2 linked regions of the Pelodiscus sinensis genome follow. The protein of the gene in region 1 purifies or fractionates together with the protein of each later gene. This does not show direct contact. Links are inferred from orthologs where the notes say so. Each region holds a gene or a part of one and is shown on either strand. Other genes may lie near its edges.

Region 1 (16,464 bases):
CAATACCACCTTGTCTACATTGGTCCTCTTGCACAAAAGCATTTGTGCGAAAGGGCTTTTGCCCGAACGGGAGCAGCATAGCATTTCCACAACAACACTGACAATCTTACATGAGATCGTCAGTGTTCTTGCGGAAATTCAAGCGGCCAGTGGAGACAGCTGGCAAGTTTCTCCACAAAAGCACCTGCTTTTGCGGAAAATCTTGCCAGTCTAGACGCAGCCCCTAGAGTCTCATCTTGTCTTTGTGGGCGTCTGTACAGAAAAGGGAGACGTCTCTGCTTATATTTGGATTTTTTTTTTTCTTCCAATATTGTATTTGGAGACCAAAAAAAAAAAAAAAAAAACCCTGAAATCTCTGAAACAGTCCATAGGCCTTCTATTGGAAGCATAAGAGCGTTTCCCACAGGAGTCAGCAAGGAAATTAATGAAAAAGCAGGGATGCAGCAGTGCAAAACAACCAGATACATTGAGCATCTGACTTCCATCCACAAAAGCAAATTCAGTAATGAAGCTGAAATTCTGTTCCAGCTTATACCACGTGCCGTGTTATTGGAGTGAGCTCCAGATAGATTGTACACCCAGAAATAAGCAGATGTAACAGACAATTTCAACCATCTCTCAGAATTTCCTTACTTCTGTAGTTTGAAATTAAATAATTTGCATGCTATTTGTATTATAATAGCATCTAAAGGCCCCACCCAAGATCATGGCCCATTGTTGAGAGAACTTTATGACACACAAGTACAGACAGTCATAACATTACACAGTAGGGCTGTGTCTAGACTGCATCCCTTTTCCGTAAAAGGGATGCAAATTACACACAACGCAATTGCAAATGAAGCGGGGATTTAAATCCCCCCCGCTTCATTTGCATAAACATGGCTGCCGCTTTTTTCCGGCTCGGAGCTTTGCCGGAAAAAAAGCGCCAGTCTAGACGTGGATCTTTCGGAAAATAAAGCCTTTTCCAAAAGATCCCTTATTCCTCTTAAAATAAGGAATGAGGGATCTTTCGGAAAAGGCTTTATTTTCCAAAAGATCCACGTCTAGACTGGCGCTTTTTTCCGGCAAAGCTCCGAGCCGGAAAAAAGCGGCAGCCATGTTTATGCAAATGAAGTGGGGGGGATTAATATCCCCGCTTCATTTGCAATTGCGTTGTGTGTAATTTGCATCCCTTTTACGAAAAAGGGATGTAATCTAGACGTAGCCTAGGAGATCTAAAGAACTGCTAAGATTTTAAATCACACATGAAAGGAAAAATCTTCAAGGAAATGTCTATTAACCAAGGTAAAAGAGCTGTACCTTAATTTTTGAATGAATGTGCCTCAGTGAGTCTGCAGTACCCATGTCTGCATCATCAGGGATGCACACTATATCCAACTTCATCTTTGTGTCTAGATTAAGCATCTTCTGGACTTCTTTGGTTGTAACCACAATGACCTCTTCAGCATAAAACAAGAAAGGGGAGAGGAAAACAAGGCAACAAATATTAATGTATTCATCTATGCAAAGCACAGGATACACCCACACTTCCAAACTTTCTCCTACTTCCATTGTGCTTTAGGAATGGATTTAGTCATTTAACTGAGTTATTCAAATCTCCTCTACTCCCGCAAAAAAATAGTTCCAGAATAATAAATGTCACAACTAGAGGATTAAGTTTTTGACTGACACAAGTAAGTTTTTGAGCGTTTTTCTTCCTCGTGAGGGACTCCAAATGAAATTGAGAGGGGAGCAGGATATATTTCCTGACACTGCTAGCTAGCGATTTATTTAAATTACATGTCAGATAAAGTCTCTTACACCTTAAATACCCGTCATAGTGGACCTAAGTGTCAGTAATTTTAGCAATGAGTGACCCATAGTTAACTTTCTTCCCCTATGTGTCAGCTTGCACAGCTCACTATGGAAAAATACCAACTACACTGTGAAAGGCAATAGTTAAATCAACTCTCTTAGCACCTTCCTGAGAGGGAAATGGAATAGTTTAGCTGAGTACAACACAGATGAGTTCAACCTAGATAGAAAAGACAGAAAGGACATAGGAGGATGAAGCCATAGGTGGTAACATTAACACTGCCACACAGATACCGGGGAAAACAATATTCTCAGTATGCTGAACACTTGGGCAGCCACCAGAGATTCAAATGCCACCCAGCTGATTAGTGGGCGGTCCACAGCCAGCAGCATGTGTTTCAACTAGTGGTTCACATACACACGTTTTGGTGCACATAACGAAGTTTATTCTGCACATGGATGGAAAAAAACAGAGGGAACACTGGTGGGAAAGTAGTGAAGATAAAGGAACAAAGACTATAGCAAAACAGCAACTGCAACAGGCATTTACTACTAACATCCAAGAACGAAGGACAGAGAGAAGCAAAACTTCTTGAAGTAACTGAAACCCATGAAATACTATATTCCTGAAGACTTTCCCAGGACTTACGGTAGGTAACCACTACAACCATACAGGCATCAGAAATGTCCCCAGATTACACACACAAAAGAATGATCCAATATGAAAATAATCTAACCAAAGAAACCCTCCTGGATTTACTAATTAAGGATATGGAGGAAATGAAAACAAGGCAGTTTGGTATAAGGATGTTAAATTTAGATTAACTGGCTAATCGAATAGTCAATATAATTTGCATTGACTATTCAATTAGTTGATAAAGGCGCCTCCGCTTTTGAAGTGTAGCAACAGGTGAAAGCTCTGTGGGGAGCATAGGCCAACGGGGTATTCAAGCAGTTCTAGTCTTGCCAGAAAGAGGCAGCAAGGGGGAGGCGGGGAAAGAAAGGGGGGGGGGGGAGGACTCCCCAGCTGGCCCCAGGCTACACAAGGCGTTTCAAAGCAGCAGCGCTGCATGGAGTCAGGTGTCTGACCCCAGGCTCCACACAGCACTGCCGCTTTGAAGCGCCCCCTTCTCTTCCTCCTCCCTTCCCCCACTGCCTCTTTCTGACAGACAGCAAGGGAGGGAGACTGACTAGCCAACTAGTTGGTCACATCCCTAGTTTGGTAACAGTAACTGGGAGCTGCTTTTCAAAACGGATTTATTTTGTTTACTAGAATTAGAAAGCCAGAGCATGAGAGGAGCATGGAATTGCAACTGGTTTGATGTAAAACACTTGACCCGGTTTCCCCCACCCCCCGCCCCACAAAAATTCTCAAAAATCAAAATGAAACTTCCTTGGATTCAAAACTGGCTAAAGGACCTAAAGAAAGGAAAGTGATAAATGGCAAGGTCTTGAGTTGAGGTGAAATGGCCAGTGGAGCAGGGGTTGTTAGTACATTCAGTCTCACTTGACATTTTCATAAATTCTTTGGATGAAAGAAAAAGAGGGTTGAATTTCAAGTTATTGAAATTCATATACTGGGACCTGTGAACACTGGCAAGAGTAGAATGATATCAAGAGATCTAAACTGGCTGGAAATATAAAAGAAAAGTAATACAGAATTAAAGGATGAAAATAATTAATGCCAGACAGCATGGTTTTATGAAACAAAAGGTCTGATCAAACAAACCTGATTTTTTGGATGAGAATTAGCATTCGGTTGATTAGGGTAATTTCCTAGATACAACATAGAGACATCTGTAAAATGTTTGACTTAGCACTAGAGGACAGTTGGATTAAGAAATTAGGACAATACCACACACATAACATAGATTAAGGACTGGCTAACAGAGCTGAAGAAACTTAAACAGTGAACGGTCCTGCAGCACCTTAGAGACTAACAAAAATGTAGGTAGTGTCATGAGCTTTTGTGGGCCACTTCTTCAGATCAATGGAGCGAGGGGTCCAGAGGTACAAATAAATAGCAGAAAGAGAGGAGATGGGGAGGGAAAGAGAAGGAAAAATAAATCTTGTCAATTAAGAGTGTCCATGTTAAATGAGGCTAATGGAGTGAGCTATAAGTGCCCGACAGTGAGCTTCGGATGTCATTAGGGTGTTGAATGTAGCGGCCTAACCAGTTCATGTCTTTGTTCCAACCTTTATTATAGGTGCCAAATTTGCAAATGAAGGCAAGTTCCGCAGCGTCTCTCTCCAGCTGGTTTTTGGAATTGCTTTGTAAGAGTATAGTCACTTTGAGATCCATTAATGAGTGCCCGGGCAAGATGAAATGCTCCCCAACAGGTCTCTGTGTGTTACCATTTAGAATATCTGATTTGTGTCCATTAATCCTTTCGCCAATGGGGAAATCACGACTAAAGGGGGATGCTTCTAGTGGAGTGCTGCTGCCATCAGCCCTGTCAGGCCTAACTCATCTTAACGTGTCTCAGAGGGGGAGCTGTGTTACTCTGTAGCTTTAAAAACAACAAATAGTCCTGTGGCACCTTAGAGACTAACAAAAATATACACACAGATTGCTGGTTTTGGGAGGTGCAATCTCTGGTCCGGCAACATCCGTGATCCAGCACTACCACAGATGTTCCTGGTTCAGAGAGCCCGGCACACCAGTGGCAGGAAGGCTATCCAAAAGCAGGGCCAGGCTGAAGCAGCAGGAGGGGAAAGGGCTGGGGCTGGCAGCAACTCTAAGCAGCCTGCAGCAGTGGGGCTGGAGCCAGCAGCATCCCCCTGCAGCTCTGAGACCGGGTCGGGGCAGCACCCACAGTGCAGGACTGGGCATGCCATGGCCTATAGTAGTACGGGGCCAGAGCTTGCAGATTGCCACAGGGCAGGAGTTTAAGCCCTCAGCAGCCTATGGCAGGAGGACTGGGACCGGGACTGGCAGCAGCCCCGGCAGTCTGTGGCAGCACGGGGCCTGTTCCAGAGCCTCGGGCAGCCTGCAGGAGGAGGAGCCCTCAACAGCCCCAGGAGCCCGTGGCAGCAGGACCAGAACCAATCCCCACCAGCGGGCCAGGGCTAGAGCTGGCAGCGAGGCCGGGGTTGGGCCGGTGGCAGCGCAGTGCAGCGCAGCTTGGAGCTGGGGCCTATGACAGCCCATGACAGTGCGGGCTGCTGGAGCCCTCAGGCAGCCTCAAGCCAGGGCAGTGGCAGCAGGACCGGCTGGTGCTGGGAGTAGTCAGGGGGCCCTCACAGCTGGCAGACTGTGGCAGGGAACCTTCCCTGCTCCGGCAAATTCCCTGATTCGGGGCAGGTCAGGTCCCGAGGGTGCCGTACCAGGGAGGTCCAACCTGTAGTATCATGAGTTTTTGTGGGCAAAATCCACTTTTTCAGATGAGCTGGAGTGGAAATGACAGAAACCCAGAATTTATAACAGAAAAAGAAGGGGAAAGAAAAAAAAAGCACCTGTCAATTGTAGTACTGGTGCTAATGAGGCTAACTGAGTGGGCTGGACATATCCCATACTTCACTTTTGATGTATATGAGGTGTTAAATGCATGGAAGTCTAACATGTTTATCAATGATCTGAAAGGACATACAAGACTGCGGCGGATAAAAATGTGCTGCTAACACAAAGACTGGCTGAATGGTAAACAGGAAAGACGATAAGGCTGTCACAATCTGGACTGCTTAATGATTTGGGCCCACTCCAATAAAATTCATTTTATTACAGCCAAATGCAAAGTTAGACAACCAAGAACAAAAAACATAAGTCCTACCTACAGAGTGGGGGGACTGTATGCCAGAAAGCAGCGACTCTGGAAAGGATTTAGGAACCATAACAGATAACTCAACGTAAGAGCCAAAGGCAGGGGTGGGCAACATGTGGCCCACAAACTGGACTCCGTTCACCAGAGTTAGCCCCTGGCAGGCCACTAGCACTTCATTTACCTGCATGTCTGTTTCCAGCAGATCACCGTTACCTGCCAATGGGAGCTGCGAGAAGTGATGTTCCTGTCCACACTGCTTCCCACGGCTCTCATTGGTCAAGAATGGCGATCTGCAGCTAACAGGAACTGGAAGCAACCGTATCTGCAGACGCACAAGTAAAATGAAGTGACAGTGGCCCACCAGGAGCTAATCCTGGCTCCGGTTTATTGCTCACCCCTGCCCGAACCCAAAACGGGCCAATGCAACCCTTGATACATAAATAGAGTAACAACAAGCAGAAATAGAGAGGTGTTTTTCTCTCTCTACAGAGCACTGGTGAAACAGATGCTGGAATACTGAGTATAGTTCTAGTTTCCACATTTTTAAAAGAATGATGAAAAACTGGAGAAAGTGCAGAGAAGACACACAAAATTATCTGAGGGATGGAGAAAACGATGTACAGTGAGAGACTTAAGGAACTCGATCTCTTTATCTCACCAGAAAGATTCACAAGCAAGTTGATTACAGTGTATAAGTACTTTAATGGGAAGAAAATGCCAGGTACCAAGATGCTCTTTAATCTATTGGAGAAAGATAGAGCAAGAAAACACCGTTGGAAAACACCAGAAAAATCAAATTTGAAATCAGACGCAATTTTTGAATAATGAGGGTACTACTAGAACAAACTACCAAGGGAAGTGGCGTTTCTCCATTGTTGGATGTCCTAAACATCAAGATGGAATGCCTTTTTGGAAGAAATACTTCGGTCAAACACAAGATATTGGGCTCAATATAGGGGTAACTGAAGTGGGTTGTGCCCATGAAAGCTCATGATACCACTTACACATTTTGTTAGTCTTTAAAGTGCAGCAAAACTAGTTGTTTCTTAATTTTTTAAAATTCTATTCTCAGACAAGATCCAACTGGCCCCTTCTGGCCTTTACATCTATGAATGTATTCAGTAACTATTAGACTTGGAAGGATTCTATTTTACTCGTAAATGCCAATTTCATTGTACACCTACAACTTTAACAAAACACATTCCCATTGACAATAAAAGAGCAGGTGACAGAAACATCTATCAGGAATGATCTGGATGATGTTTGGTCTTGCCACGAATGCAGGGGACTAGACTTAATGACCTCGAGACCCCTTCCAGTTCTAGTAGTCTATGAAATACTTTTATAGCTAGTTAGACAAAATAAGGCCAATGCTGGTTGAGAATTTATAAGAGTTTTGATGTAACGATATGTACTTTGTATATTTTGACGTGTGATGATGACTATTTGTTTTAATGCATATAAAGCTTTAAGTCTTTGACTCTCAATGCTTACTGTTATTATTAAGTATTTACTACCTGCGCTCTCCATAATTTCTCAAAACTGTTTACATTTAACTAGATTAACAAAAGTTGCAAACCCATAACTTTATACAATTGTGAAAATTAAAATTAACAAATGTCGACCTTATGCTTACAATCATCCTCAATATTCTCCATGACAACTGTACATTCAAAAAAACCTCCTGAATTTTTGCCAGGTCTGTGTGTCCCGTGGGGCTACCCTGCACTGACAGCAGAAGGGATTCATTAAATCCAGGGATCTCTCACCTTCAAATCCGATTCGCTCTAACAAATTTAAGGGGTACCAGATCAAAGGTTTGTTGCCTACTGGCAGGAGGGCCTTGGGGATGCTGGAAGTCAAGTCCATCATGCGGGATCCCCCACCAGCTGCCATCACCACCGCTTGAAACTCCATCTCGACAGCTCTGCAGGGAAGCGGCAGAGGCACCAGGCTCTCATCAGAGGATAAAGCGATCCCGGAGCGCGGCCCCCCCCCCCCCACCACAGCGCCCTTCTTCCTCGGCGGGGGCATGACCCTCAAACTCCCGCCCCCGACAGCTCGCGGCGGTTCCTCGCGGGGCCGTTTACTGAACGTTCGTCCAGGGACACGCGCGCAACGGAACCGCCGGGGGGGGGCGGGCAACGGGCAAGTTCCACAGCGGGGGGGGGGGGGGTGACCAGCACTAGCGCCACAGCCTGGCCTGGGCCCAACGCGCAGCACACGGGATAGCAACCCCCCGCGCCCGGCCCCGCCCCCTCCAGCCAGGGGAACCCGGCCCGGCCCCCCCCCCAGCCAGGGGAGCCCGGCCCCCCCCCTCTCCCCCCCCAGCCAGGGGAGCCCGGCCCGGCCCCCCTCTCCCCCCCCCCAGCCAGGGGAGCCCGGCCCGGCCCCCCTCTCCCCCCCCCAGCCAGGGGAGCCCGGCCCCCCTCTCCCCCCCCCCCCAGCCAGGGGAGCCCGGCCCCCCTCTCCCCCCCCCCCAGCCAGGGGAGCCCGGCCCCCCTCTCCCCCCCCCCCCCCAGCCAGGGGAGCCCGGCCCCCCTCTCCCCCCCCCCCCCAGCCAGGGGAGCCCGGCCCCCCTCTCCCCCCCCCCCCCAGCCAGCCAGGGGAGCCCGGCCCGGCCCCCCAGCCAGGGGAGCCCGGCTCTATGGAGCAGCCGCTACCTGAGGTGCCTTCTCCGCCGGCTGACAGGACAGCAATGGCGGCCCAGGCAGGTACTGCGCCTGCGCTGGTACCCGGCGAGCCCCGAGAGAATCGATCGGCGGAGAGCGCCGAGCCATCGAGCGATTTATCTTCCCGGAGGGGAGGGGGGACTTCAGCCCGGACTGAGGAGGAGCACGGAGTCATCGATCCCCCTGCAGCAGGCGGCGGGGACGGGGAGGAGCACAGAGCCATCGATCCCAGGAGCCTCCTGCAGGCGCTGGGGAGCAGGCAGGGGGAGCAGAGCCAGGCAGCACCGTGGCTGGGGGCAGATGGGGCTCGCCAGCCCCCTCCAGTGGCCGGGCAGGGATGCGCAGGCTGCCATTAATGGGGGGGGTCCCCCTTGCAGAGATCCTGGGCAGCGCTAGGGTTGCCAGATGGTTGCAACAAAAATACCGAACCCCCCTCCCCCCCAAAAAAGAACCACCGGGAAAAAATTCAGTTGAAGGGGAAAAAAGGGGGGGGGGCACCAGGGGAGCTGGGGGTGTTGGGAGCCAGGAGAGGGCTGGGGGGGAGGCTGAGTGTTTGCAGGGTTGCCAGGTGCCCGGCATTTTCACCTCCTGGCCAGGGAAAAAAATCAGAAAATACCGGACATTTTAGGTGTCTGGTATTCTCTGAATTTTTTACCGGACAGGAGGCAAACATACCGGACTGTCCGGGTGAATACCGGACACCTGGCAACCCCAGCAGCCGCAGGTGATTGTGAGATCAGCCTAGTCCCAGTGGGATAGCTTAGTGTAAATGATAGAGTTTGGGTTCTCTCTTTGCCTTTTGGGCATGAGCTTTAGGGCCACCGGGGGCTCTTGGTTTTGAGCATTTCTCCCTCAGCAGGAGGACTAGCCGATCACCAAAGAAAAAAGCACAGCGTCAAAACATGCAGGCAGCACCGTTATCTCCACAGCAACTTGCGTGTATTTCTGGGAGGGGGGCAGAGTCCCCCCCAGTGCATGGCACGATGGAGTTTGTCGGGAGACACTGGCCAAGTGTCCTTAGACACCCTCATTCCCTGGACTTTGCTCTTCACTCTGAGCCCCCATTCATCACGCCGAACACTTGTTTTGCAGGGCACCTGTTCTCCGAAATACCCATTTTTAGTGGGACAGGTCTGATATTTGCACTATTAGGACCCATCTCATTTCTAACTTTTCACACTTGTCACCCTACTCTTGAACTGCTCTTATTCCCAAATTCCTATTTGACAAGTTGCATGTGGAATTGGAAATATTTCGTGATCAGACAGAGGTCTGCTTCCAATTTGATCTAAACCACAGAATATGGACCCCAGATTTCTTTCCTGGCTAGGGAACCCCATTTTTTCCCCCAAGGCACTCCATTTAAGAAGCATCGGTGCTGCTGTACCAATAGAAACTATTTCCACAGATGAATAATATTTTCAAGTCCAAACCAGTAGGACTCTGGGAAAACGCCAGAGCTTCCCGACAAGAGCTAAAATTATTATAACTGGCTTAACTTCTCCCAGCAGAGGCATTGCTGCTGCCAGTCGGAGACCTCGCTGATTTGGAAGGATGTCTCCGGGACCACCAACCAAGCTCCCCGGTTGCCTTTTGAACTTAGCAAAGCAGACAGAACCCCCTGCTAACTCCACATTCAAAGCCAAGGAACAAGTTTACTGCAGCATAGCTACAGAATACCCCACCCCAGAGATCAATGGGATAACAGGCCAATGAGTTACATGGACAAAGGCTATACAGATAAATTATCTGTTGCTTCTTTGCAACACACTCGTTTTACAGCCAGGACACCCCACTTTTATCTACTCCCTGCTTTTACCCGCACCCCCTCCTCTAATTCACAGCCTCCTAACAGTTAGGACTGTATGTAAAATCCCACGCTACCCACTAGATTATATAACGTTTCTCTACTGCTTAATTACAAAGCTATTCATCTCATTTGATGGGGATTCCCCTTACTCTCCCTGCCTGTGCTTTCCTTGTCCTATGGCCAAGTCAAGGGCAGTCAGGACATTCCAAAGACTGAAAGGCTTGGTTTGCACTCCTTGCCAAACGGGGTATTCCAAGGTCTTACTAACCATGCTAGGCCAACAATTATATTGCTGACATGTTAGTAACCAATCTATGCTCCATGAAATACGCTTAGGTCATGTAAGTGCTAAGAGGCTAAGTTCACTTACTCAGTGTTTCACTTCCTTGCACTCGCCCGCTGGAGCCCTCTCGGGTCCCCGAGGGGCAAAAGAGGGATCTCCCATTCCCACTAAGAGCTGCTTCGATCTTGCGCTACTGATTCTCGTAGGAGTGCTTTCCATTACCATGCACGCCAGGCAATACGGGACTGTTGCAATTGTGAGCTGCAGCACTATTTGTATGTAGCCGCTTAGAGCAGCGGGTCCCAAACTTATCGGCATCACGCCCCCTTTTTGATTTTTGAGAAACACTCACCCCCCCCCCCCATAGCAGCAAAACTTGTTGAGCAAAAAAAACAACCAAAAATAGCAGCACAACTTGGGGGCGGGGAATTGATGGGGGGGCTGGGTTGCCTCATGCCCCCCCCAGAAGTTCTTCACGCCCCCCCCCCCAGTTTGGGAACCCATGACTTAGAGGAAACCATGGATGGGGGGTGAGCACGTGTCTCTGATTGGGGGGACAGTCCCAACTGTGCCTTGCAAGTCCCAGTCCTGCGCTGAATGGCTCTGGGACAGCACTTGTCCCGGAGTCCCTCTGCCGCTGTGCCACATCTGCCCGTGGCTTGGGCAGCACCAGCCTCTTCCAGTGGCAAGGCAGAGGTAGCCTTCTGGCCCTGCATCACCCTGGGCATATGCCTCGATTCCTGGGTAAATTTGGTCGCAGTTCAGCCTATATGAGGCCACCCAGGTTCTGGCAGCTACCAGGTGTTTACACAGGCAGGCAGAAGCTGGTGCCTCAGTTTTGCCATCTGTGAAATGGGGGCAGCAGGGCTGCCTCTCCCCCCAGCTCCCAGGGGACATGAGTATTGTCAGTGTCGGCTGATAAAGCAGGATGGCAATGGCTGCAAGTGCTCAAACATCAGCATGTCCCCTAGTTCTGACCCCAAACTCCTCCACTGAGGTGCAGCTGCCCTTCCAGTTGGCATGGCAAGGGACAAGGCCAGGGCCTGCGGGCTGGTGACTGAGGCCACGAAACATCCAGTGCTGGGTTTCAGAGCCAAACTGGCCGCCCCTCGTAACCCTGCTGCCGCCACACTAGCGCGTAAAGGGTGCAAGGTTCGAGGCTGGCAGAGGGGGCTGAGACTCTGCGGTTCTTCCACTTGCTCATCCATGGAACCACAGAGCAAGTCGATCCAGGCCCGTGACGAGGCTCATTTCTCCAGGGTGTTGTCCAGAGGGACATGCCCATTAGCCCCACCCACAATCACTAGCTCCGCCCACACGCCCACAGCAATTGGATGCTTCCGCTAAAAGGACTGCTGGTGAAATAGATAACAACAGTAATTGTTACATTTGCCATCGCTAGGCTTCAGAGTCAACACTCCCTGGGGCTGTGTCTACATTGGCATCCCTTTCCGGAAAAGGGCTGCTAATGAGACACATCGCAATTGCAAATCCGCGGGGGATTTAAATATCCCCCGCGGCATTTGCATTTACATGGCTGCCGCTTTTTTCCGGCTTGGGGATAAGCCGGAGAAAAGCGCCAGTCTAGACGTGATTGTCCGGAAAATTCTCCCTTTTCCGGAGGATCTCTTATTCCTATTCAGGCAGGTGTTGCTGCGTTGGTTACACTGAGCTCAACATCGGGAGGCCAACCACCCACCTAGCAGGCTGGGCACTCAGCGGGGGTGCTTTTAAACACGCGCATGGGTTCGACGGCCCCATCCCTGGGCGCTGGCTCTGCCCGCTCTGTTCATTCGTGCTCTGAGAGCCTGGCTAGCTGGAGCCAGGTGAGGTACCAGCTGAGCGGCCCCAGGGCCAAGCAAGGCGCAGTGCCCCCGCACAGCCAAGGAGACGCTGCTGCGCCAGTGTGCTGGTCCCGGCACTCTGGGCGTGGGGAGGGCAGGAGGCAGATGGAGGGAGAAGACCCCTCCAGAGGTTTTGTTCATCCCTGTCTTAGGCCTTGCTCCTCCCTTAAAGCCCCCAGGGTGACACAGCCCAGCTGGGCTGAGTCACCTGGCTGGCTGGGGCCTGTCTTGAGCCTCCCACTGTTATTAGCTCCCATAAGTCATCCCCCAGCGGCGTCCCCCGGCCCTGCCACACACAAAGGGGCCCTTTGAGGTGCGACAGGAGGCGGGTTGTTGCTGTGTGTGTGAAATTGGAAGAACAGCAGCTGTCTCGCTGATGGGGGGGGGGGGGAGACCTGAAGCCCACACCTGGCGCGTGAAACACACCACCCATCCAGCCGCCATCCCCAAACCAGATGCGGCCCTGACGAGCCGCAACAGGAACTGGGGCACAGAACCACAATTGTGCCTCTTATACATCGTCCTGGGCCTTGTCTCCAGCGGCCAATTTGTTCAGGAGTCTCCCGCTTGGCCCCCTGGGGAGCAGCCCGGGTTGTTGTAGGATTCATAGGAAAAACGTGATTAACATCAAAAGGGAACTCAGCCGAGCTCGATGCAGCTGGCTCTGGGGCGCGGCGCAGCAGGAACGCCGCCGCGCATGGCAACAAGGCTCCAAGACAAGAACGTTGTGGTGGCTGGAACGTTGTGTGTGTGGCAGGGGCCACCTCCGGAGCTGGGAGGAGAGGGGAATTCCCAGGTCACAACCATGGGCATTCACTGACCGTTCCTGCTGGGCTGGGGAAATCCTACACGTAGTGCTGGACACCACGCTACCCACACGCAGCCGACGACATGGCCAGTGGGGCGCTCAGCTCAGTAGCCCCCCGAGCCCCTTCCCGTAAGATGAACAGGGCACAGCGACTTCGCTGTTTCTTTAAAGGAGATTTGAGGAAAGGGAAGAACTGTCACGCGACGGAGCCTGGCATTTGTGCAACGCTGGGGCTGGGCCCCTACTGCACCCATGTACAACCCTCCGCACCCGCGTACGCACCACCGCACGCACTGACACCCCTCCGCACCCGCGTACGCACCACCGCACGCACTAACACCCCTCCGCACCCGCGTACACACCACCGCACGCACTAACACCCCTCCGCACCCGCGTACACACCACCGCACGCACTGACACCCCTCCGCACCTGCGTACACACCACCGCACACACTAACACTCTCCGCACCCACATACACACCACCGCACGTACTAACACCCCTCCGCACCCGCATACGCACGTACTAACACCCCTCCGCACCCGCGTACACACCACCGCACACACTAACACTCTCCGCACCTGCGTACACACCACCGCACACACTAACACTCTCCGCACCCACATACACACCACCGCACGTACTAACACCCCTCTGCACCCGCACCACCGCACGTACTAACACCCCTTTGCACCCGTATACGCACCACCGCACGTACTAACACTCCTCTGCACCCGCATACGCACCACCGCACGCACTGACACCCCTCTGCACCCGCATACGCACCACCGCACGCACTGACACCCCTCTGCACCCGCATACGCACCACCGCATGCACTGACACCCCTCTGCACCCGCATACGCACCACCGCACGCACTAACACCCCTCTGCACCCGCATACGCACCACTGCATGCACTAACACACCTCTGCACACATGCACACACGCTAACTAGGAGGAACAAGCAAGCGCTTGTGTGCCTACGAAACCCCAGCTGGCATAGGATTTGCCCTACTGCAGCTCCTCTGTGTATCGGCTGCAGAGTTCAACGTAACTGTCCCAAACAAGCCCTTGGGCCAGGGCTTCCCAGCCAGGCAGGCCACCGCACGGCCTTGTCCGAGTGCATGGCCCTTAGTGGTGCTGTGGAAATGCCATGCACTGGGCAGCTGCCCCAGCGGTAGGAGAGCGCCAGCACCCAAGGAGCTGGGCACCTAGGCTAGCCAACAACGCCCTCAGCCGGGTCTCTGCCATGCTGCTGGACAGCTGCAGCTCCTGCCAGGAGAGGCACCAGGTACACCCGGCAGCACCGCGGCGTTCAGTGGCCGAGGGTTGGTCCCTTGTCCAGCCAGGGAGCACAGCAGGGTGGCTCAGACCTGCGCTTCAGCCAGTGCAGGAGAGTGACTGGCTCCAGCTGGGACCGGGAGCCCGCTGGCTTCGCGGAGTCGCATCCAGCCTCCGCGACCCGCTGCTGGTTCTGGAGGCCCCAGCGCTGAGAGTCCTGGATCGGGCCAGGGCAGAGCTGTTGTCAGGCTGTTGGTGAGCACAGAAATGGGGACTGTTGTCAGCCTGTCGGTGGGTCTAGAGTTATTATTCTAGCCACCTAGCCCCACACAACCGGCCAAACAGCCTCGTGTGGCTAGTGTGTTGGACACCACAGGAGCTGCCGGCGAGCCCAAGCGGGGAGCTGTTCTCTGGCTGCAGGGTGCTTAGGGCTCTGCCCGTCGGGTGTTGCGGGGGGAAGCCCATGGAGCAGAAAAGCCCACAGGCTGTACCCCAGTCTCCAGCCTGCCGTGGAGCTGGCTGTACCCCAGGGAGGGGTTGGGCTGCCAGGGGACCAGCCCCCCCTCCCAGCCCCGCTGTGCCCTCCCACTCGCTCACGCTCTGCCTCCCCCGCTCACCCAGCTGCAGGCCTGACCCGACCTGCCGGACTTTGCTCTGCCTGGGGGAGCGGAGCAGCCGCCTGCCTGTGGGTGGTCTGGGCACACGGGCCCGGGGAGCTCACAGCGCCGGGGCACGCAGACCCCATCCCCCCTGCCAGCCGCTGCCCCCCGCCAGGGCCTGGGGGCCATGCTGGCCACCCCCAGGACACTGGGGAGCCCTTTGCACCCAGACCCATTAACCCTCCCTGTGCTGCAGCAGAACCCGACCAGTCCTCCCTCTCGGGCTGGCAGCTCCCCGCCCCCCAGCTGTCCCCAGCCAGGGGCCTCACAGGACTCCTGGGTCCCTTTGACAGCGCAGGCCCTGCTGCTGCCCGGCTGCACCCACAGAGCAGCACTGACCCTGGAGACACTGAGGCAAATATCCCCTCCCCCCAGCCACTCCTGCCTCCCCCGGGCCCCGCTGTGCCCACCCCACTGCCCATAGGGGGAGCTGCCCTCGGGATCCCCCCCGGCTCAGGCAGTTCTGGGCCCTGCGGTGTCACAGAGGGAGCCGTGCGCTGGCATCACCTGCCAGGGCGCCCCCTCCAGGCAAGAGCTGGGGCTGCAGCACACCTGCCCCGCTCTGCCGCCCCACACGGCCCGGAGCCTGGGCCCCTGGCTTGGTCACAGCCTAATCCACTCTGCCTGGGGAGCAAGACCCCTCCCCAGCGGTCTCCCACCCAGACAGCACCTCTCCGGCCCAGCGAGGCCCAGCAACCCCTCTCCATCCGGCTCAAGAGCCAGCACAGAAATGCAGCCCCCTCTGGGGTGGGACCCAGCAGCTGCTTCCCAGCACGCAGCACTGGGGCGCCAAGGGGGCAGGCCGCAGGTGACGGAGAAGCCCGTTTCAGCCGAAAGGGACATGGGGCTGGATTCCAAGGGGGGGCCTGCTCCTTTGAACTGTGCCGGGCCCTGCCCCCAGCCCCTTCCCTCCATAGCTACAGGGCCCGGCCCCGAGCAGCTCCTAGCACAGAGGGGCCGGCGTCTGGATTAGAGCTGGGACGGGGGGAGCCCAGGGGCCGGAGCCACCCCCGCGACAGTGTGCAGCACCCCCTGCTGGCCACAAGGGCTCGGTGCAGAGCAGCAGCAGGACGTGCCACCCAGGGCCAAGTGATGCCCAGGTAGCCCAGCCCTTCTCGGGGCACGGGCAGGCCCCCACGGCAGGTTGGGGGGAAGCCTCGGCCACTGGCTGCCTGGGAGCTGTCGGGCTGGGAACGCTCTGTGTGGGACATTACTCACTCGGCACGGGCAGCCCTCCCAGCCCCACCCAGGGCCCTGGTGCCAGCAGCAGCCTTCCTGGCATCTAGCGCCGCCGTGGGTGGCCTGGCGGCTTTGGCAAGAGGACTGCAGTCCCAGGGAGCAGGCCAGACCCCCCTGCAGCTGCGGGAGCCGGGCCGGGGAGAGGCACCGGGGGGTTTTCTGCACCGGGATTCCAGCTAGGAGGGTGTTGCCAGCAGCAGCTGGCTGGGCCCAGCCTGGCAGCAGAGGTAATGGGCTGACGCACGTGCCCTCCCGTGGCCCCGGCTGGTGCTTCAGCAGGAGCAGAGCAGAAAGGAGGCGGGGGCAAGGCACCA
Region 2 (15,755 bases), on another chromosome or scaffold:
GACAAAATGATTCCAGGAGGTGCTGGGAGATAGGGGACAGGAGCAGGCTGAGGGTGGGAGGAGATGTATGAGAGGAAGGATTAGTGTGGGAGGGATCTGGGCAGGTGGGGGTGAGGAGTCTTGGCAGGAAGGGAAGTGCATGAATATGATGGTGAAGGCAATTGGAGCAGCAGGAAAGCCTCCAGGCTGGTGTTCCAAACTTGCAGGGGTGAGGAGTCTTGGCGGGAAGCGAAGTGGTGCATGGAGGTGATACGGGTGTGGGGTCCAGACATGAGTGGGGTGTGGGGCTTACCTGGCTTCATCCTCTCACTGCTCCCAGGCACCACCTGCTGCTGCTCCCATTGGCCGTGATTCTGGCCACTGGGAGCAGCAGGAAAGCCTCCAGTTGAGCGGTTTCCTGCTGTTATTGTTTCCCCCATCTGGGGAGAGGAGAAGTGGCAGTATGCGGAGCCACTTCCTTCTCCTGCAAGCCGGATCTGGTCTGAGAGGATGGCTGCCCCCTTGTAGCAGGCACTCCAACCTTGCTGGGGGGGAGGAGAAAGAGGAGTTGAAGTGCCAGTGCAGGTTCCCTACTGCAGGGGGAGGATAGTTTTGGTTTTTTTTTTCTGGCTCAATAAGTTTTGTTGCTATTTTTTGAGGGGTGGGGGTTTCCTCAAATCTAAAAGGGGGCATGATGCCAAAAAGTTTGGGAACCACTGATCTAGATGGTGGTCTTGCCGTGAGGGCAGGGCACTGGACTTGATGACCTCTCGAGGTCCTTTCCAGTTCTAGTGTTCTATGACAATGTTCAGATATTAGATTGAAAAGACAGTTAAACTTATCAAATACTTCAGTTGATTTATGGCAGTCACTTCATCTTAACTATGTCAAAAGATTTGCTTGTTCAGTGGCAATGCCAATTGATACTACAGTAAAAAGTTAAATTAGTAGAACTAACCATTCAATTTAAACAAACTTTTTGGAAGTTTGTGTATACTACAGTACAAATGAAAACCAGAAGGACAATGAAAGGCTTGATAGCATTCAAGAATGTTATGAATATACTTACCCTACTGCAGCATCTAGAATCACAGTCACAGGAACGTTGAGCTTGCTAAGGGCCTTTGCCATTTTTTGCCTATTTAAAATAATGTTTATGCAGTTTTAAAAACTTTATTGAAAGATGTCAGTGAAATTCATAGATGCGATACAACTAACTTTGAGGTATATATGAATGAAATCTGATGATAGAACATACATGGCTTCAGCTCTCTACTAGTAACTGCTTTTGCCATCACTTTTTTTTGGTTTCTCCATGTTGTGTGAAAAACTCATGAAAATAAAGGAGAAACAAACGATCCAGGAAATAGTGAAACTGACACTATACAGGGAGTCCCCTCTAAAGACTGTTTAGAAATCATAGTTAGTTACTGTAACTATATAAAGTAAAAGACTCATGCAAATCTGATTAAACTGACAGTTTATATTTAAACACTCATATTTTCATTTGCTTGGTGTTATATACAAGAGATTGTTAAATGTTACTTTAGTAAAGCTAAAATCACACTTTATCTGCCCCAAATTCAGATACTTCAGTTATTAGGAATGACACTGCCTGGTTTGTTGTATTAGTTGATATATAGCATGTGTGATTTGCTGATTGATTTCCTGACTTCCTTCATGCTACATTGTATCCTTTGGTGACTGACATAGTATCTTAATGAGAACTAATTGTAAACAAAAAACCCAAAACATGAAAACCCCCACATTATTAATAAATATTTTTATTCTACTATTGTTACAAACACCTATCTTATTTTTAAAAATACTTCCAATTGGCTGTCCTTTTAAGCAATCTTTAGAGAAAAATGGGTTGCCTAGTGGTGGTTGACCTTTAAAGCTTTGTTATACCTTAACTGGAAAGTTTGGGGATGATGCAATGTGTTTAGTTATTACACAGAATTGCCAGTTGACAACCTTTCTTTGGAAGGGTGTAACAGACTGTCTCGAGATGTGATGTTTTGCAATGAAATAGTTACCTTTCAATAATTCAGAAATAAGTAAAAGCTGTTCTTAAAATGGGACATTAGCTCTACAGTATCTTACTAATTAAGATGACAAATTTGACATATACTTGCCCTGCTTGATCAGGCTGTGATTCAGTAATATAAACACTGAAACGCTTCTTTGACGTGGCAGCTGCCTCTAACACTCTGAGGACCACTCTTGAATAGGCATGAGTTAATATTTGCTGATAAAACAAGACAAGAAGTTTCAGGAAAGATTTGTTATTGTCATGATCTGTAATTATTTATCATGCACAAGTGTTCTATACATTATTTTCAGTTACTTTAGCTTATATCCTAGATCTTACAAAAATGTTACATTTTAAGGATTGTAAATATTTTTGATGACCTATCCAATATTTAACTCCTGTATTTTTGTAAGTCATGGAATGTTAAGCCATCATGAAAGTTGGACTTTATAGGGTACTTCATTATTGCAGCTCTGACACAGAGGGGCTGAGAACCCACAACTTCCATTTAAGCCAGTACTTGTGGGTGCTCTGAACCACTTAGAACCAGACCACTGGCTTAACATCAGTTTGTATGGAAACAAAGGTGGAGAGAGGGAAAAGAAAAAGGGTTTTAGAAAATGATCTGAATATGTAGCATAAGCAAATGTGATACCTAGGAATAAAATCATTAGCTGGGAAAGCCAACATCAAATAATGTGTTTTGCCTAACAGATCATGATAAAACCTTTCAATTTTTTGCATCACCAGAAATAATGGTACACCCAGAACAGCATAATTGGTCCTCTCATACTTACAGCACCATCTTTGATGAATGTGTGGCAGAGTTTTGCAATTTTGGTTCTTGAAAGAGAGATTCTCATAAGGAAAAGTTCCCCTCGTTCAATCATGATTTCTTTACACTTTGAATAATCCTGGAAAAAGCAACAAGAACAAAAAATAAGGCCCAGGATTACTCTGTAACAGTCAGTGGTCCCCAACCTTTTGGAGCTGCTGGGCGCCCAGGGGCAGGGCTGCGCACGTGCCACGCACCCGGGGCTGGCACCGCGCATGCGGTGCGTGCCTGGGGTGCAAGAATGGCTTGGGCCAGCCCTGGTCACTCGGTGGGCGCACAAATGCCCCGGTGGGCGCCACGGTGCCCACGGGCACCGCGTTGGGGACCACTAAGTGTTACCTCACTGATCCCTAAAGTATTACATTTGGTGACAAACTCACCGAGTATTCCAATGAGGTTAAACTGATAAACCTTAGAAAGAGTTCTCCCCCTGAAGAGACTGCCACTGAAGAGTCAACACCAGACAGAGTTTCAATTGCATTTTTGAGATTTACTCTCAAACCCTGAATGGTCTCACCTGAGAGAGAGAGAGAGAGAGAAATGCAAACTTCATTTTAAAACAAGATACTCATTACATGCTAGACAGAAGTTTAGATATATTCTGGTATAGCACTAATGGGGGACTCACTTGGTATTTTTCCTTCGATGTATTAGGATTATAGTGGAAGTTTATTATACCATGGAACAATTCTACAACCGATTCCATAAGTTTGGATAAAATCTATAGTCTAGTAAGCTCTACCTGCATTCTGCCCTCCATCCAACTTTCTCTAGAATAACAGTAATCTTAAAAAAAATATAAGTACACCTGAAACATATATCACTGCCAGGAACTAAAATTGATTAAATACTACTACACAGTTAACAAGTAGTGTTGACTTCTCCCATCCGTTCATTGATGTGCTTTGATTGTAACTTGAAGGACAAGTTATTGACATTATTCAGGTAATTCAGCAGCCATGATTAGCCACTCTGAGTAGACGAACACACATCCAATGAAGCAGATTATACTTAATGAAACAAACACCGCATACATTTGAAAACCTTTCTTGTATTAATACTGTTTTCCAGATTTTGATTATTAATGCACACTTCTCATAGCATGTGCTCATTTCTGCACATTATCTACCAGGCAAGTTTCTTACTTCAAACTTTTGATGAAGGTGTAGCCTGCTTTTTTGCTCCAAGACCTTCATCTTTAACTCTCTTCTGAATTTTAAAAAACAGTGTAGTTCAAAACACAGGGATTGCCTTTTACTGCAATGCAGGAGCAGGGGTATTTTTGTTGGTGTAAAAAAGAAAAGGCAAGATCTTGGAAGCAGAGATGAACTGCAGTTGTTTGTTTCTTGAAAAAGCAACAAATAATCACCTGAAGTACCACAAAGCTCTGAATTTCAGTTATCTGAAACACCATGAATTTGATTAGATGTGTCTCAAATTTAGGTTTGGCAGAATCTAATTAAAAAAAATTTTAATTAGGGTTTATTTTAATTTGCAGCTCACAGTTCTGCAAATATTTTGTAGTTTTAGCATCTTTTTCAGTTTTTATCAACTTAGTTTTCAGTTGCAGGAAATTACAGGGGTGTCAGACAATGATTGAATGATGTTTTCAAATAACTTCAGAGTGGTAGCTGAGTTGGTCTGTAGCAGGAAAAACTTTAAAAGCAATAAATAGTCTAGAAGCACTTCAAAGATTAAGAAAACATGCAGATGGTATTATGAGCTTTTGTGGGCGCCACCCAGTTCTTCAGATGACTGGAGTATTAGAAGTCCAGCTCCAAGAATAAATAAGGAGGGGGGAGAGGAGAAAAGGAGGGGCGAAGAAAAAAAAAAAGAGAGACAGGCTATGTCTACACTGCAAGGTTTTTGCACAAAACAGCTGTTTGTGCAAAAACCCATGGGGCGTCCACACCCCAAATGCGCTTTTGCGCAAGTAAATCAACAATAAAACAGCAGGAGAGAGGGCCTTCTCTGGTGTAGGTAAACCTCCTTTTATGAGGCATAACTCCTTGCTGCGCTACAGCTATTGCGCAAAAAGGCAAGTGTAGATGCCCTATGAGAAAACCTCTCTTGCATAAGAAACCCCTATGGGAAAAAGCACAGCTGCCCTGATGGCCACTCACAGAATGGCCATCAGAGCTTTCTTGTGCAAGAGTGTCCATACGGTGTGGATGCTCTCTTGCGCAAAAGCACATCACTTTTGCGATGTGCTTTGAGGTGTGGACATGCTCTTGCACAAGTAGTTTTTGCACAAAAACTCTTGCGCAAAAGGCTTCTTGTACAAGAAGCCTGCAGTGTAGAGTAGCTACTGTGAGTAGATGTTTCAAGTGGTTACAAGAGGCTGATAAGAACAATTAGCACCTCCACTGTTTGTTGGTTGGTTAAGTCATTAGGATGTGGAAAGTAGTGTGGGACCAGGAGATTTCTATCTGCTACCTAAGATACACAAACCTGGAAATCCCAGACGAACCATCATCTCAACCATTGGCACACTTACAACAGGATTGTTCGGCTATATTGACTCTCTCCTCAGACCCTATGCTACCAGCACTCTGACCTATCTTTGAGACACTACTGACTTAGAGGAAACTATAAAACAGTAATCTTCTTGAAAACACCATCCTGGCCACCATGGATGCAGAAGCTTTTTATACCAACATTCCACAGGAAGATGGATTACCGGCTGTCAGGAGCACAATCCCTGATGACAGCACTTCACACCTGGTTACAGAGGTTTGTCCTCACCCACAACTACTTCACATTTGGAGACAATCTGTATCTTCAAGTCAGTGGTACAGCCATGGGCACCTGCATGGCACCGCAATATGCCAAGGTCTTTATGACTGACCTTAAACCAACGTTTCCTCAGCTCTCACCCCTAGTACACTTACGCTATATTGATGACATCTTCATCATATGGGAAAGAGATCTTTGAAGAATTTCACAGGAATTTCAACAACTTCCAGCCCACTACCAACCTTAGCCTGGATTAGTCCACATGAGGGATCTACTTCCTTCACACTACAGTACAATTAAATGATGGACAAATTTCCACCACCCTATACCGGAAACCTACTGACCGCTACACTTACCTTCATGCCTTTAGCTTCCATCCCAGACACATTTCTCAATTTATTGTTGACAGCCAAGCCCTAAGTTACAAGTGGATTTGCTCCAGTCCCACAAACAGAGACAAACGCCTACAGGATCTACACAGAGCATTCTTAAAACTGAAATACCCACCCGTAGCTCTGAAAAAAACAGACTGACAGAGCCAAAAGAATACCCAGACACGAACTACCTCAAGACAGGCCCAAAAGAGAAAACAAGAGAATTCCTCTTGTCATCACCTACAGTCCACAACTTAAACCTCTCCAAAGCATTATCAACAATCTACAACCCATCCTGGAAAATGACCCCTCACTCTCAGAGGCTTTGGGGGAAAGGCCAATCCTTGCCTACAGACAACCCCCTAACCTTAAACAAATTATTTCCAGTAAGCATGCAACTTACCTCCATCATAATCATCCTGGACCTCACCCCTGCAATCAGCCCTGGTGCCAAATCTGCCCACACATCTATACTATCAATTTCATCAATTGGACCCAACCACATCAGCCACCAAGAGGCTCATTTAACTGCACATCCACTAATGTGATCTTTGCCATCAAATGCTAACAATGCTCCACTGCAGTGTATATTGGCCAGTTTCCACATTACAGGAAAATGGACACATCACATATTCAAAAAGGCAATACACAAAAAATTGTTAGAGAACACTTTCATCTGCTTGGACATTCATTAATGGATCTCTAAGTCACGGTGTTATTTCAGGCCAATTCCACAAGCCAAATACACAGGGAAGAATTGGAATTTAACTTCATTTACAAGTGTAATTCTTATGCAAATAGTATGAAATGGGACATCCATTGGCTGGCATACTAACTTCCACATCCTAATGACTTAAACAATGGAGGTGCTAATTGTTCTTATCAGCCTCTTGTAAACACTTGAAATATTTACTCACTGTCTCTCTCTCTCTTTTTTTCCCCCCTTCTTCCCCTGCCCTTATTTATGCTTGGATCCAGACTTCTAATATTCCATTCAGCTGAAGAAGTGGGTTGTGCCCACAAAAGCTCATGATACCATCTACATGTTTTGTTAGTCTTTAAGGTGCTACTATACTATTTGTTGTTTTTTAAGTTTGTCCTTGAATAAGTTCTCAGGCAGCATTTTTCTTTTTAAAGGTTAATAATTATCAATGGAAACCTTTTTTGGTTGGTTGATATGCGGACCAGGGATGTTAACTATCGATTAACTGACTAGTCGAGTAACCTCATGACTTACTGGTTAGTCAACAAGTATATAGTCTTTGGGGGTGGGGCCAGCAGCCAATGTGCTCTGGCATCATATTGCTGCCTCTGTATCAAAGGAAGCAGCGTGGGGTACCAGGCAGTAACTCATCCATGAGGGAAGCCAGTTTAAAAACCAGCTTCCCTTGCGGACTGGCTGGCTGTTACCCTGTGCTGCTGCCTTTGATAAACAGGTAGCAGTGTGGGGCAGCAGCTGCCTCTGTCAAGAGGGTCTGAGCTCCCGGACTCAGTGCGAGATGAAAATGATCCAGGCTGCCTGCTCACCCAGCTCCTAATACGCTTTAAATGCTGAGTTACAGCACGGGTAGGTCCCGGACCTGCCGCAAGCCAGGACTGAGCTGGACTACTGACAGGGCTGCTAAAAAATTGACTGGCAAGGCTGAGGGGAGGGAAATGCATGTCTATAGCATTAACCTATAAGCTTTTGTTTATCAGTTAATCGGATACACTATTGCATTCCTAATGTGTAGGGTGAAACAGGTTTATAAACAAAATCCGTCCAAGCCTATGACAGCTGTGTGCAAGGTGGTCAGTGATGTGTATTGCACTGGCCTCTACTGGACGGATTCAGCACTTCAGTGCGCATCTTACGTGACCATCTCCCGGTCGCTGCTGGGCAGGGCCCCGGGTTGGAGTCCCGCGCTCGCCCAGCAGAGCAGCTGGGCCGGTACCTTTGTCTTGCTTTAGGAACTCCAGCAGCGCGCGGATAGCCGCCACGGCAGAGGCCACGTCAGGATCCTCCCGCATCTGGGCTTTGAAGGCCTCGATCAGCTCTGGAAGGGAAACGGGGCCCATCAGCCGCAGGGACCCGCCCGCCACGGGGAAGCCCCACCTGGGGCTGGGCAGGTCTGGTCCCTCCGGTCCAGGGAGCGGGGCAGGCGCAGCCTCAGGCCGGGAGGGGGATGGCACGTGTCCGCCGCGGCTCTGGCGAGGGGGCGGTTAATCCCCACCCCGGATCGGGCCCCGGGCCTCCTTACCTGCGTCGTTCATGGTGTCAGCGGCAGGCGGCCCGGGCCCCCGGCAGCCGCAAGAGCCGAGTCTGTTCCCGCCGCTCACGCGGAGCCGCTGTCCCCGCCCGGCGCTTGCTCGCGGGGGCACCACTTCCGGCCGGCTCTTGCAGCATCACGCGTCGTGCGACCAATGAGCAGTGACATCGTCTCGAGGCGCCGGAAGCGAAAGTCCGGCCGGTGCCCGCTCTTCGCCTGCCTGAGGCTGGGCACTATGAGCGCAGGTGAGTCCTGGCCAGGCGCCGCGCCGGAAGCGGGGCTGGCGTCTCCCGCGCGCTCTCCTCAGGGCCCGGTGCGAGGCCTCTCTGCTGCCTCCTCTCTCCGCCGCGGGGTCCCTCGGCCCCGTCCTCCCGGCCGTGCCCGGGGCTGCGTCCGGCGGATGCAGCTGCTGCCCGCGAGCCCCGCTGAGTTCCGCAGCCAGCACCGCCTTTCCCTTGTGTGGGGCAGCCACGCTGCCTACGCCCCACAGGCGTTGGGTTTGGAAACGGCACCTGCGTGCGATCTGTGAACAGAGGGGTTGAGAGAGAAACCGATAAACGCTGAAAAGAAGCCCTATGTCAGGCTCCCGGTCCATGCATTTCTGTAGTGCCTCTGCCTCCTATCCGGCTTCCAATAATACAGTCTTCATTACTGTAACATAATGCGTTCTACTCCTGTTCCATGTGGTTCATGGATATTTGGCAATAAACACATGGAAAAACTGCAATTATGCTGAATCTTTGACTGTGTGCTAACTTTTTTTTGCTGTTGTGTGTGTGACTAAAATGTTATTAAATAAAAGTGTATTTAATTTTAAAACAGGCCAATATAAAAACAAGATCCTGCAAACCCTTATGCACTCTTAGCTAAATGAGTGTTAAAACATCTGGTATTTTTGCCTATAGACCTTTAAATGTTAAGTTTCCCATATTTCCAAAGGAGCTGCTGTGTTGTCTGTTCTCAAACATATGCATTATTATTGCTTTTTTTAGATGATGAACTAAATCTCTTAGTCGTCATCGTTGACACCAACCCTATCTGGTGGGGGAAGAAAGCACTAGGACAATCAGAGGTAAGGCTTCCTGACCAGCATCAGTCACAATGTAGTTTTCCAGAAGACTTTTCTGTAATTTTTTAACAGTTCTGTTTTAAATGAATGACAATCCAAATTGCAGTGCATTTGTTGAAGAGAAACTGTGAAATACTTTTTGAATACAAAATTAGAATAATACTACACAACATAAGACCGGTCATATTGGGTAAAACCAAAAGTTCATCTAGCCCAGTATCCTGTCTTCCAGCAGTGCCACGTGCCCCAGAAGGAATGAACAGAACAGGTAATCATCAAGTGATCTATTCTATGTTACTCATTCCCAGTTCTGGTTAACAGATGGTAGGGCAGGCCTGGGCAAAATCCGGCCCAGAGAAACCCTAGACAGACTCCCTATTTGCCTCGCCCCACCTGCACGCTGCTTAGAAAAGTGGCTGCCAGGCCGTTTCTCTCCCAAAACTCTGAGCTGGGAGGAGTGGGGAGGGCCTTCAGGTGTTTCCCAAATCCCCAGAACAATCCCAGAAACCAGCCAATGGGAGTTGCCTGTTTGAATAAAAGGCAGCCATGAAGCACCATGCCCCCTCCCCTCTGGCTTGTAGTTATTTACACACACACGGCCCTGCAGCCTGGGGAGGACAGGCAGGCAGGTTGCCTGAGAAATCCACTGGAGTGCTGGCCAGGAATCACCTAAGTAAGTGTCCTGACCAGAGCCTGCCTCAGGCACCCCAGCCTCTCCCCCAACACTTTGCCCCCCGCTCCTGCCCTCTATTCCACATACCCAAACCCTTTGCCCACCCTCCTATGTTCCCCCAATCCCCTTCTTCAGATTACAGTCCCTTCCTATTCTAGGTCACAACCAAAACCCCTGTCCTAGGTAATATCCCAAACCCTTGCATCCCAGGTAACAACCCATTTCTGACCTAGGTTAAAATCCAAACCCCAGTCCAGAGCCCCAGGTCACCATCGCCTCTTTCACCCAAACTCCTTCCCAGACCCCACACTTCCTCCTGCACCCCAGTCACTTATTCCAAGCTCTCTTCTGCACCCAACCTCCATCCTAGACTCTGCACGTCATCCATTAATGTCATGGAAGAGTGCAGTCCTTGACCACTTTCCAAATTCTTGGAGTGGCCCCCCCCATCAAAATTATTTCCCATTCCTGCTCTAGAGACACCAAACTTGCTTGTCTTGGTAATAATCATTGATGGACTTTATCCTCCATTAATTTATCTAGTTCTTTTTTTGAACCCGTTATAGTCTTGGTCTTCACAACATCCTTTGTCAAAAAATTCGTAATTGTGTGAAGAAATATTTCCTTTTATTTGTTTTAAAACCTACTGCCTATTTAATTTGGTAACCCATAGTTCTTGTGTAATGAAATGGGGTAAATAGCACTTCCTTATCTATTTTCTCAGTACTAGTTATTATTTTATAGACATCACCCTAAGTCATCCCTTTTCCAAGTGAAAAGTCCCTGTCTTATTAAAGTTTCATCATATGGAAGATGTTTCATACCCCTAATTAATTTTTGTTGAATCATCATAAAATAGTTGCAGTAATATCTTAAGAATGTAAGAACAGCTATACTGGGTCAGACCAATGGTCCATCAAGTCCAGTATCCTGTGCAACCTCTGGCCCCCCATTCTTTCCCTGCAGCCTGATCCCCTACTTTGCCCCATGCCCCTCAGTGCAATCTCTGCACCCTCCCATCCTGCCCCTGGATCTTCCTTCACCCCCCTTCTTCATCCACATCCTTGTGCCCTTAGTGCACTCAAGTAGGGTAGCAGTGCTGGAGTGAAGAGAGGTGGTGCGGGACAGAATAGCCGTGCTGGAGTGAGGAGAGGCAGAGGGAGTAGAATTTCTTCCCTGCCCGGACCAGCTCTTTGCCTGCAGGCTGCAGGTCTGAGGCTGGGGCAGGCAGAGCCTGGTGCTGCCTAGGGCTGGCTCTAGCCTGGCTGGGTGTAGAAGTGCTCTGGAGAAGGGGCTCCTCATCTCTGCACACAGCCGGTGGGGAGCATACTGGGTCCTGGTGCCCCATGTGTGACTGGCCACCCAGCCCTACCCCCTCTCAAAGCAAGAAGGCTGTAGCCAGGAAGAGGTGAGGGTTAACCCCTTAGCTCCTGGAAGCTGCATGCACAGGCTGAGCAGGGGCAGCCCCAGGGACATGTGCATGCCTCTACCGCTCCCTCCCTCCAGCAGGAAGCCAGAGCTCGTGTTCCAGCCAGTAGCTGTGTGAATGAGGCTGAAACCAGAGCACACGCCCCTGGCTGCATGAAGGGGGAGAGGTGGGACTGAACTCCCACCACATGCGCCACGGGAAATCAGCTCACATGCCGATTGTGGCATGCATACTGTGGGTTGCTGAGCTGTGCTCTATCCTGTCTTTCCTTAGTCTCCTCTTTTCTAATCTTAAAAGTCCCATTTTTTTAATCCCGTTTGAAATCCCTAATAATTTTGTTCCTCTCTTCTGAACTTTTTCCAATGCCAATATATCATTTTTGAGTTGAGGTGACCACATCTTTACGCAGTATTCAAGATGTGAGCATACTATAGATTTATATAGAGGCAATAAGATATTCTTGTCTTATTCTCTATTCCGTTAAAATGATTCCTAATGTTCTTTTTGCCTTTTTCACTGCTGTTGCACACTGAGTGGATGTTTTCAGAGAACTATCCACAATGATTCTAAGATCTCTCTCTTGAGTGGATATAGCTAAATTAGTCCCCAACATATTGTATGTATAGTTAGGATTATTTTTTCCAATGTGCATTACTTTACATTTATCAACATTCAGTTTTATTTGCCATTTTGTTGCCCAATCAATTAGTTTGGGGAGATCTTTTTGAAGCTATTCATAGTCTGCTTTGTTCTTAACTATCTTGAGCAGTTTAATATCATTTGCAGCTTTTGCCACCTCACTGTATACCCTATTCTTCAGATCATTTATAAATAGGTTAAGTAGGATTGGTCCCAGTACAAGATCCTTGGGGAACAGCATTAGTTACCTCTTTCCATTCTGAAAACTGACCATTTATTCCTACCCTTTGTTTCCTATCTTTTAACCAGTTATCAATCTATGAGAGAACCTTCCCTCTTAGACAACTAACTTTACTTAAGAACCTTTGGTGAGGCACCTTGCCAAAAGCTTTCTGGAAGTCTAAGTACACTATCCACTGGATCTCCCTTGTTCATTTAGTTTCTCCGCAATGATCTTATCATCTTTGAATGCTTCTTTAGCATCTTGATCGTCCAGTGACCCCACTGGTTGTTTAGCAGGCTTCCTGCTTCAGATGTACTTACACATTTTGCTATTACTTTTTGAGTTTTTGGCTAGCTGTTCTTCAAACTTCTTTTTGGCTTTCCTTATTATATTTTTACACTTAAATTGGACAGAGTTTGTTCCTTACTGTTTTCCTCGCTAGGATTGAACTTTGACTTTTTAAATGATGCCTTTTTATCTCTCACTGTTGTGTCTAATGCCCTTTTAAATACATGATATGCTGGATTGATTTGCGCTGCAGCATTTTGTCTAACCGAATATAAGGCATCTGAAGAAGTGGGTTGTGCCTACAGAAGTTCATGATACCATCTACATTGTTTGTTAGTGTCTAAGGTGTTGTTGGACTATTTGTTGTTTTTTAATTTTTTTCTGAATACAAGATAAGAGTGTTGGGTACTTCTGAATTCTAATCCCAGCTGTTGTCACTGACCTGCTCTGTAAGCTTTGATCAAGTAACTTAGTCTGATATTTTCAAAATTGGCCAGTAATTTTAAGATCCTTGAATTGAGACATCTTGGGCCTGATTTTTAGGAGTGTTATACACTCAAAACTCTAATTGAAATCAGTATAAATTGCTCAGCACCACTGAAAAACAAACTGTTAGTATCTCAGGGTGGACATGCATATTTGATTAGAGGACGCTTGAAAATTGTAAAATCTCTATTCCTTGGTTTCCTTATCCTTAAAACTGGGATAATAATGCCTATATCACAGAGTTCTTGTTAACTAGTTAATCTTTGATGATGCTGAACCCTATATAAAAGATATTCCAATATCAAACATATTCCGGAGTATCACAATGAATATTAGCAGTTCTGGAGTGTGTCAGTCTCTCTTATAATATTTATTTAATTTCCATTTGTGTCTCTGTATGCACATATAAAGAAATGGAAAAACATTTTCCAATCACTTTCCTACCTCCTGTAGAGATTGTCTGTTTCTTGAATTTTATGTTCTCTCCCTTGTAAATTCCAAACCTAAGTGAAAATATTACTTATGTGCAGATTTTTAAAAAGTTATTTTATTTAAATGTGGTGGCTCCTATGGTATATCTATATTTCTGAGCTTTTCACAATGTCCTTTCTTGTTTTTCTTTTTTGAACAGTTTACATTATCAAAATGCCTGGATGCAGTAATGGTGATGGGAAATTCACATCTATTTATGAATCGGAACAACAAACTTGCTGTAATAGCAAGTCATACACAAGAAAGGTACAGTAACTTTCTTATATCAGTGTAATTTTTATTTGTAAAACTTCCCATCACACATGTTTGTTTTGAATAGCTCAGTGTGCTGAAGAGAGTAATTCAAACCAAGGGTAAAATGTATGATCTATTAAATACCCTCTTCAGAAAACAAATTAGTAAAAACAGCAGGAGACAAGAGAGGGTTCTGGTTTTAGTGATTATTGAATGCAAAAGAAAATAAGAGTAAGGCATTATGAAAAGAAAAAGGTGAAGAAAAACAGCTTTTGAAATTAAAAATAATCTTTATTTCAAAATGGAGAGAGAGAGACTGGTAACAAAAGAGGTACAAGTTCCCTTCCTGGAGATTGTCAAAACAACACAGTGATTGCTGTGTTAAGAAATGAGGGGAAGATGGTTTCTGAATACTAGTTCCCAACAGGATGATTATCAAAGAGAAAGTATTTAATATTGGTGGGGCTTATAGCATTTAGGGTTTTGTAAACATGGTTCTTATGTAGTTAGGTTGTTAGTGTCCCCGGGCAGCAAGAATTATTAGGAATGAAATCTTGTTTGAGTGGTTCAATTTGTGGGTGTTCATCTATTTTGCTAAAAACAAATTATTAATACTATGCTGCTCTTTCTCGCTTTTAGTCGTTTCTTGTACCCTGGAAAACACTGGGCATTTGCAGATCTCTTTGGAGATGGTGGTAGTTTCGTTGAATCTGTTTGCTCTGGCAGCAAAGATGGTAAATACGAATTATTAACAGCAGGAAATGAAGTAATCACAGAGGAAATTAAAGACCTGATGACAAAAAGTAAGATGATCTTTTGTTAAAAAGTATAGCCATTTTGATTAATTTGGTTCCACATCCTCATTACTTTTTTTAAATTGCTATTAAAATATCATAAGACTGCGCATACTATGTCAAGCCAAAGGTCCATCTAACCCAGTATTCTGTCTTCTGACAATAACCAATGCCAGGTGCCCTAGAGTGAAAGAGTGATCCTTTCCCTATGACCCATTTCCAGCTTATAACAAACAGAGGCTTGTCCTCCACGAATTTATCTAGCTCTTTTTTAACCCTGTTATTGTCTTGGACCTCACAACGTCTTCTGGCAAGGAGTTCCACAGGTTGACTGTGTGTTGTGTGAAGAAATATTTATTTTTTGTTTGTTTTAAACCTACCTATTAATTTCATTTGGTGACACCTTGTTCTTGTAATTTACTCATTCCCATAACACTCTTCTTTATTCACTTTTTCCATAAGTCATGGTTTTATAGGCTTCTATCATATTCCTCTCTCCCCTTAATCATATTTTTTCCAAGCTGAAAAATCCAGTCTTTCTCACCTCTTCTCATATGTCAGCTGTTTCATACTCCTAATAATTTAGTTCCTCTTTTCTGAACTATTTCCAATGCCAAGATCCTTTTTTGAGATGAGACGAGATGACTACATCTGCATGTAATAGTCAAGATGAGAGTATATCATGGATTTCTTATAGACACAGTAGGATATTTTCTGTCTTCTTGTCTATTCCTTTAATGATTCCCAACATTCTGTTTGCTTTTTTGACTGTTGGTATACATTGAATGGATGTTTTCAGAGAACTGTCCATAATGATTCCAATAACTCTCTCTTGAGTGGTAATAGCTAATTTTATATGTCAACTATATCATTTTATATGTATAGTTGGGATTAAGTTTTCCAACATGCACTCTTTTGCATTAATCAGCATTAAAATTCATCTGCCATTTTGTTGCCAAATCTCCTAGTTTTGTGAGACCCCGTTGAAGCTTTTCACAGTTTGCTTTGGGTTTTATACTTTTAGCAGTTGTCACCTCACTGTTTATCCTTATCTCCAGATAATTTATGAATATGTTGAATAGAATTGGTCCCAATACAGACCGGGACACCACTAGTTACCTCTCTCTACTCTGAAAACTTAGCATTTATTCCTAATCTTTATTTCCTATCTTTTAACCAGTTATCACTCCATGAGAGGACCTTCCCTCTTATCTTTCTTA

The links.
Region 2: the proteins of EIF2B3 (region 1) and EIF2B1 purify together in Homo sapiens (affinity purification with mass spectrometry; 7 studies listed by BioGRID and IntAct, counting the BioPlex papers as one, with this or other methods). This does not show direct contact. The link is inferred for Pelodiscus sinensis from reciprocal best matches to the Homo sapiens genes EIF2B3 and EIF2B1.

The regions. Positions count from the first base shown.
Region 1 is NC_134719.1:1,351,684-1,368,147, forward strand, and holds the start of EIF2B3 (translation initiation factor eIF2B subunit gamma), read right to left. Parts: upstream 8,347-16,464; 5' UTR 8,219-8,346; intron 7,483-8,218; 5' UTR 7,473-7,482; coding exon 7,325-7,472; intron 1,440-7,324; coding exon 1,300-1,439; intron 1-1,299. UniProt on the Homo sapiens protein: Acts as a component of the translation initiation factor 2B (eIF2B) complex, which catalyzes the exchange of GDP for GTP on the eukaryotic initiation factor 2 (eIF2) complex gamma subunit.
Region 2 is NC_134725.1:31,216,459-31,232,213, reverse strand, and holds the start of EIF2B1 (translation initiation factor eIF2B subunit alpha), read right to left. Parts: upstream 8,334-15,755; 5' UTR 8,213-8,333; coding exon 8,200-8,212; intron 7,996-8,199; coding exon 7,894-7,995; intron 3,367-7,893; coding exon 3,230-3,366; intron 2,929-3,229; coding exon 2,812-2,928; intron 2,231-2,811; coding exon 2,118-2,230; intron 1,118-2,117; coding exon 1,049-1,117; intron 1-1,048. Other genes in the region: GTF2H3 (general transcription factor IIH subunit 3), read left to right, coding at 8,363-8,453, 9,201-9,280, 13,647-13,753, 14,381-14,544.